Mus musculus: one gene and its partner. The protein of the gene in region 2 purifies or fractionates together with the protein of the main gene of each other region. This does not show direct contact. Links are inferred from orthologs where the notes say so. Each region holds a gene or a part of one and is shown on either strand. Other genes may lie near its edges. The genes, in order: Kdm4b and Fbxo22.

Region 1 (4,449 bases), on a different chromosome or scaffold from region 2:
CAATGAAGAGCAATGGAAACAATTCAAGACTCGTCTAGCTTGGAATAATTTATGTGTAACCTTGAGAGTTAGTGAATTAGCAACAGACTAGGGGGGTAGAACAAATATCTTGGGTGCACAAAGAACCTGCTCTAAGGAGGGTACTTTCCAGATGTTAGATATTAAAGTAGAAGGATTTCTAGTCTACCCCATAAAACAGGAATGTTGTCACCTCTGCTTGCTCAAGTATAGAAGCCGTAATGGTAGTTTGCAAAGCAGGCTCTGGATAAAAGAGCTTGCAGTGAAGCCTAACAACCCAGATGACAAACTCCAGAGTTGCCCTCTGACCTGTAGAGGTATATACCACACATATATACAAAATAATAAAAATTTAAAATTATAAATGCATATTGATGGGGATGATATCAGACCTTAACTAAATGCTCTTGAGTGCAGGGTGACTGGTGTGGTGATGCTGTTCCCTTCACATCGCACAATGAAGAGATGGAAACAATTGTGTGGAGCAGGGGCTTGGACACCTGTAGCTGGAATTTGGGTGCCCAGGCCTCCAATTTGCAATACGCTGAGCTAGAGAGTAGGACCTAGGACATTTTGAGAAGTAGATAATTGAATCCTCTTCCACTGAGTTATTGCAACGCTTTCCATGGGTACAGCTATCAGTTCAAGGTGGGGGGTGGGGTGGACCAAGTCGCGCACGTTTTAGGGAACTCATGAACGTTTGGGGAGGGCAATATGGAACGCTTTTGAGATCCTCTTACCCTAGTTCGGCCTTTTGCAAAGCTGGGCTCAAATTCTGACTCTAGATCTAGAACTACTGGGTTTCGAACCACTGTCTCCGGACCCAGAGCTGATGTTGTGCAGGAAATCACGTACTCAGCAGCCGCCCGATCACAGGGTGGAGTCTGGAGCAGCAAGACAGCGATTGACATTCAGTCGCAACCATTCGGCACCCAGAGACCGGTACCAAACACCAATCCGCGTTTGTCTCAGTAAAGTCTGAGAACGCGCTTGTCAATCTGCGTGAGCTCGGGGCTATCCTACACCCGACCGCAGCCGGATTGGCTGTGTGCATCTTGACGGGCATGCTTCGTACCCACTGAAAGCTGAGCCGGTCACTAGGCACGTGAGTGGGTGCCGGCACGTCCTCGGGGTTGGACCAATGAAGGGAAGAAATCGAGTGCCTGCTCCCGCCCCAGGTCGCGGAGGGCGGGGCCGCTCGGTGTTGATGAGGGGAGGGGTGGAGCTGTCAGCCGCCACCAATCAGCGTGCGGGCGTGGGCTGAATGCCCAATGGCGGCCGAGTAGGAGCCGTCGCCCCGCCCCTCTGAAGCTTCGCCTCCCCGCCCCGGGCTCTTGCTGAGGGCTCGGCCGCGAGCGAGCGAACCATCGAAGGAGCAAAGAGACCGGGCGAAGCTCGGAGCCCAGTGGCCGGGGCGAGCGAGTGAGGGCCGGCGGGGGCGACGCGAGACGGCCGGGCACGCGCCGCTCAGCCTGCTGTCTGCGGCCCGGGCCGCGCGTTGCGCCAGGTGAGTGAGTGTGCGATCCGTGGCGGCGCTCAGCAGCTTCCAGGCCCCTTTGGGGGGCCGCGCGGCCGCCATGCCTGCCCCCACGCCGCACCTTGGGCCGCCGCGCGCACTCCAGGCCGAGGCTTTGGCTGCGGCCTACTCGGCTCCTCAGGGCGGCGGAGTACGCCGCGCTTTTGTCCGTTCGGGCGAAGCTGCTGTTTGTTGATCGACAAAACGATTGTGTGCCTGGGAAAGGAGGGTGTGTTTTTTTGGGGGTGGGTGGGGGGGGTTGACGATGGGGCCGGACAAAGGCGGGGCGGGGGCGGGGCGCCGCGTCCCCTTTCCAGGGCACAAAAGATGACAGCGTGGGTGGCCCGGTCCAGCCATCCCTTCAACAACCCCAAATCCTTAAAAATAAAAAACCCACTCCAAGTCCCTGCTCCCCGCCGCTTGCATTTTGGTTCCCTTTGGTTTGGAGCTGTCCCCTCCAAACACTCACCCATCATGGCCTTGCAAACTTGACCCCCGCATGTCCAGAATCTGTAAATCACCATATAATCTGCATTTTAAAAATGAAAATAAATAGTACACGTATCTGCTATTGCAATGGCAGCCTTTCCACCTCGCTTCTGTACCCTGGTCTCTTTGCTTTCCAGCTCCCTTCTTTCTGTAAGCCATGAAATGTGCAGTTTTCCGCGTGCACACTAGTCCAGGGCATCCCGGCAGACAGGGAAGCTTGGCAAAGCTGGGGACAGCTGGGGGTGGCTTTCCTACTGCCATATCCTGGGGGGTTTTGGGGGTTCTGTTAGGGGTTTCGGTCAGCCAGCTGAGAGTATAAGGGATTCCAGGTTTGCAGATTTGATGCTGTAACTGGTGCGGTTTGGCCATTACGGTTCGGGCATCGCGGTTCCTTGTCCCATCTGTCTGAAAGGGGGGGGGGCGGGGCGGAGGATGGCATCGCTTTAATAATTAACACCTGGGGAAGTGTCTTGCCGGAGTAGTTGCTAGTTTTTTTCAACTATGGAGAGGATGGATCCGGTATGTTTCAAAAAGCAAAAAGAAAGAGTGTATCTTTCCCTGTAACCAAGTGGGATTTGCTCAGCCTGCAGCCTGGTGCCAGCACCTTCATAGGCGCTGAGGATCTTGGTTGCAGAAGGTTGGGGGGTCCGGGATGTCTCTGTGTCCCATTAGTTGTGTATCTGACAGTCCCCAGGCTGGAGACTGCACTGTTCCCCAAACAGCTCCTGCCTCAAAATGGGTTCATTACGTGGGTCTTCAGGGGCTCCTACCACTACCAGGAAAGGGCTAATCACTCTCTTTAATTCTCCAGTAATTGCTGCCTTCAGAGTCACCAAAAGGGCGTGTCTCCAGACTGGGCCAACCTTTTCTTCCCACCCTGCTCTAGCTGTAGTCAGCTTTCTTCTTCCCTTCCTTTTTTCCCCAAGCCTTGTGGGTGTTCTGTATCTAAACTTGTAGGGTCCCTATGCAAGACTCCAGTCAAACTTTTCATCCTCTCCCTAGGAGGGCAGGAAGCCTGACTGTCATGGGGTGTTTTGATGTTTGGGGTGGAAATGTCCTTGTGCCAGGTGCTCCATGTACCTGTGCATATCCAGGCGCACCTGTGAATGTGTGTGTTCTAAGCTGGGATTGTATAGGTCTGATTGACAAATGATTTTCTAATCCTTTCCTCCCGGGGAGAGGGCTGCTGAGGAGATATCATAGTACACTTTGTATCTGGAGACTCAGTTACAGTCTTGTAGATATTTGTCTGTAGCCTGTAGCCTGTCTCCTTCCCTGCCCCAGGGGCCCCTCTGTTTTCCCTGCCTGCCCAGCCCTTACTTAGACTTTCTGTTCTTGCTTCCCACCTCTGCTGGGCCCCTTCTCACATTGTCCTGGGAGCCCCAGCACTAGGTAGCCATCTGTCCCTGTGCTACCTGACACCTGTGGGGAGTCAACAAGCTGTCAGATCACTCAGGGGCCTGGGGCTCCTTGGGAGTGCTGGGAAGAGGCTGATCTGGCTAGCCCAGTATCCATAAGACAGTGAGGTGCTTGGGTATTCGAGTGCATGCGTGTGTGCTCACGCTTGTGGTGTAGAGGTGTGGGCTGTGATGTACTTCCTGATGGTTGTCTCTGGAACTGGAGGTGGGGTGGAGGGTTCAGGGCCTGGTGGCCTTGGGCTTGTCACTTGCTCCAGAAGCAAGATTTAGAGCCACCAGTCTGCCAAAGCCTCCTGGGAACAGGGGACAGGGAGTAGACTATAGCAGATGGCCTGCCTCTGGAGAGACCTGTCACTGCAGGGCCCATGGGGGGCAGGGACTGGGCTCTGCTCACCATACTTGGAGTTCAGGCTATGGTGGAATCCCAGAGGTCTGGATTGACATCCCTCCCTCAGCAGGTGCCTTTCCTGCTCTGTGCAGCATCCTGACTCCCTCTTTATCTATAGCGTTGGCCTCAGGTGGCCTTGAGGATCAAGAGCTAGGGGCCAGGAGTTTGGATGCTTTCTGCTCTGCACTAGTGTTCCCACTGGCTCAGTTCACTGTGACTTGGTCACCCCTGGGGTGGGCGTTCGTTGTACTAGATGTGCAGCTGGCCCTTACCCACACCTTGCTGGTACCTCACTTTCAGCCCTGTAGCTCCATCTGCCTATGTCCCAGCTACCGCTTCTCACTGCTCCCTTCACTCTGCCTTCAGTGACCAGTGGTTCTGTTTGCTCTTGCACCCCACTATTTCCCCCTATTTCTTTTTTTTTTTTTTTAATTTTTTTTTTTTTAAGATTCATTTATTATATATAAGTACACTGTAGCTGTCTTCAGACACTCCAGAAGAGGGCGTCAGATCGTGTTACAGATGGTTGTGAGCCACCATGTGGTTGCTGGGATTTGAACTCTGGACCTTCGGAAGAACAGTCGGGTGCTCTTACCCACTGAGCCATCTCACCAGCCCTT
Region 2 (3,311 bases):
ATATCTATACCTCGGCTTCAAGGTTCCACTTCCACTTTCCTTGGATCAAGGGAGTGAAAATGCATTCTTGAGGCAACCCTTGTCTAACAAACCAGAGTCCCAGAAGCACTTTTCATTGTTCGTATACAGAGAAAGCAGCAATTGATAAGCCTTGTTGGTAGATCTAAGCCTTGCTTGAGATGACAGCTCAGTATGTGAGCATGCCTTCACTACTGTGCTCAAATCACTTTTTTTAAAAAAATGTGATTATTTTTTGCAGCTTCGTTAAGTATCAGCAGTTGGCATTTCTAGGCATTTGTTTTTTTGTGACAAACCAGCAATTACTTTTTTAATACCTGTATTTGATTTTATTTATAAAGTATCTATTGTCCTATTAGTACAAACCTTTGAACAATACAGAAATGTTACCTTGTAAGAACATCCTGCAACAAGTCCATGTTAACTTCTGCCTGTAACACAAGCTAGAAGCAGGCAGCCTGGGTCCACTGTGAGGGGCCAACAACACAGTGTAAAGAGACCCAGGATCCCTCTGTGATCCCCACCACAATGGAGTACTGACATCTCTGCAGTGTCCAAGGTGACCTGCCCATATTCCAAGCAATAAGAACAGAGCAAACAAAGGTCACGCCATTGTTGGGAAGGCAGGCATGAGTAAAGTGTGCAATGTAAACGTGGATACTGAGGGGCTGCTGCTTACACACCTCCCCCTCAGTCTGGGTTACTGTTAAGAGCCAGTTATATCCTTCATCCTCTTATCAACAGCAATAATTACAACACCAGTTGAGTGGGAAGTATGTTTTATTGGTGTACAAACAAAATATGGTGATGATTTTCAGAACTGTGTGATAAAGGCTGTTCCCTTGCAGTCTCTTTACTATGAAGAGGAAAAAGCTAACTCACAAAAAGAACGACTTTATACAGTAACAAAACAGACTGTTCATCAGAAAAGTAAAAAGTCAGTAATATTTGTTACAGCTTCTGCAAAACTTCTCAAACCAGTTCTTTAATTCTCCTTTCTTCTTTTTTTTAGGGGGGGTGTGTGGGGGTTTCGAGACAGGGTTTCTCTGTAGCCCTGGCTGTCCTGGAACTCACTCTATAGACCAGGCTGGCCTCCAACTCAGAAATCTGCCTGCCTCTGCCTCCCGAGTGCTGGGATTAAAGGTGCGCATCACCACGCCTGGCAATTTTCTCCTTTCTTAAGTCATGATTCTGCTAAAAGTTCATCAAGCACTATTTAAACCTCCACCTTCCTGGTGGCCCTCAACCTCGCAGGGCGCTTATGCAGTGGCTACAGAATCTGGGGCAGTTCAGCCCCGGCAGCTTTGCTTGCGCCTAACCACAGCCTCACTTCTTGACTTGTGTGCTTACAATGTTAATGCTGTCCTTCATCTATGTATTAAAAAAATCATCCCAAAGTGACCTCAGAGCGTCACCCAAAGCTACAAAACACACATAGCTAGTTTTGCTTAAAATATTTGGATCCCGAGTTTCCATTTTCCTAAAAAAGAGAAACCCCCAAAGTTACATGGTGTGAAAGGTGCTCTCAGCGAGGCGGCTCATTTAGAGGTTCCCAGGTGAACGAGAGCCATGATGGTTGTGTAGCTATGGAACAGGTCCTCTTCCTTTACCTCATTACATCTCCTCAGTATAAAGTTCCCAGTGACTATCCGGTCGCAGCCAATCTCCCCATTTCCAAAGAAGCCAAATAAGGGGACACTGGGAAAGAACTTTCTAAATGCATCAGCTTCAACATTCCCCTTGGCTCTGTAGTACTGAAAGCCTCGGCCAACGCATGCAAACATGAAGCCAATGGTGTTCTGTTCAGGGATGTTGGCTGCTTTGAGGCGCTGCATAGCAGCCTCGACGGTCTTGGCATCATTTACATCCTCAGTGAGGAGAACTGTGGCACTCTGGATTCGGTGCCCACTAAATGACAGTCCAACCACACCTGTGGCATCAATATCCAGAGGGTTCCTGGAAATAGAAACAGAAAACCATCAACACCTCCTGACTGACTAAGGGGAAAAGATCTGCTGCCTTTGGCAACCTAAGCTTTGGTCTGAGGTTTATCCCTCTCAGACAAGGAGTAAAATTAAACTGTTATTAAAAAACAGGGCAGATCAAAAAAGGCAAGCAGCTGCCCTTTTCAGGCACAAATACACTATACAAAAGCTCCTCCTGGATTAGTAGTTCCCAGTAACTCGCTATCTGACCATTCTAAACGGAACCTAGTAGGTAGGTGCACATAGACATGGCTTTGCAGTGGAGGTGTTGGCAAGCACTGTCACTGACTGACGTCCCACCCCTCGATACCTAGGCAAAGCATGCACCTTCCTCCACTTCAGCCCATCCACTGTTAAATTATGAAAAAGATATATTAAAAATGTAATCATGGAGGGTAATTTCAACTCTGCAGGTTTCAGCTTCCCTGCTGGTTTATTGCTTTGAGCCTGAAATTTGACTCATTTGAATTTTAAAGCTTCACAACTTGGGGTAGGGATAGCTGGAGAGGTGGCTCAGGGAAAGAGCAGCTCCTGCCCTTACAGAAGCTCCCATCTTGGTTCTGAGCACCTACATCAGGCGATTCCTAACCACCTGTGACTCCAGCTCCAGAGACTAGTAACCTCTCTGGTCTCTGCGGGCACCTGCACTCATGTGCTCAGTCTACACAGACAGCATTTGGATGGAGCGCTCAGGAGTCCTTTCTCTTGTCACCTGTGTGGCCAAGGATTGAACTGAGGTTGTCAGTTCTTGTGACAAGTGCTGCATCAGCCCTGTTAAGACTTTTTTTTAATGAATGGGACTTTTATCCTTACAAAAGAAAATGCATTAAGTTATAAAACTTATACTGACTACTCACTGGGAAGAAACATACACCTTAAGTCCCTATGACATTTATCAACAACTGACTCTATAGAATGGGCAAAGTTCTCTGGGGTAACAAGAAACAAAGCTATCAAGCATCACTGGGGCATATACATACACGCAAAATAAAATCTGGTATACATTTCCCAAAAACGAAGACCAAGGAATACTAGTAATATACCCATAAGCTGCTGCTCTCTGGGGGAAAAAGGTTAGAGATGCCACAGAGAGATCCTGCCTCCAATGCAAGTGGTTAGAGCCTGACAAGTTTTTCCATGAAGACCTGGCCCATGTAACAACTTTATAGTCTAACCAGGATAATTTGTGAACCACAGAGATGTCTTTAAGAGGCTGAAGTTTGCTTTAGACATAAGAACTCAATCTTCAAGTAATTGCTTAGAAAGATGAGCTTGCAGGGTCCAACTGTGGGACTTCTGCTCATTTGC

What was found.
Region 1: the proteins of Fbxo22 (region 2) and Kdm4b purify together in Homo sapiens (affinity purification with western blotting; 3 studies listed by BioGRID, with this or other methods). This does not show direct contact. The link is inferred for Mus musculus from reciprocal best matches to the Homo sapiens genes FBXO22 and KDM4B.

What each region holds. Positions count from the first base shown.
Region 1 is NC_000083.6:56,324,705-56,329,153, forward strand, and holds the start of Kdm4b (lysine-specific demethylase 4B), read left to right. Parts: upstream 1-1,345; 5' UTR 1,346-1,525; intron 1,526-4,449. UniProt on the Homo sapiens protein: Histone demethylase that specifically demethylates 'Lys-9' of histone H3, thereby playing a role in histone code. Does not demethylate histone H3 'Lys-4', H3 'Lys-27', H3 'Lys-36' nor H4 'Lys-20'.
Region 2 is NC_000075.6:55,221,903-55,225,213, reverse strand, and holds the end of Fbxo22 (F-box only protein 22), read right to left. Parts: intron 1,975-3,311; coding exon 1,557-1,974; 3' UTR 781-1,556; downstream 1-780. UniProt on the Homo sapiens protein: Substrate-recognition component of the SCF (SKP1-CUL1-F-box protein)-type E3 ubiquitin ligase complex that is implicated in the control of various cellular processes such as cell cycle control, transcriptional regulation, DNA damage repair, and apoptosis.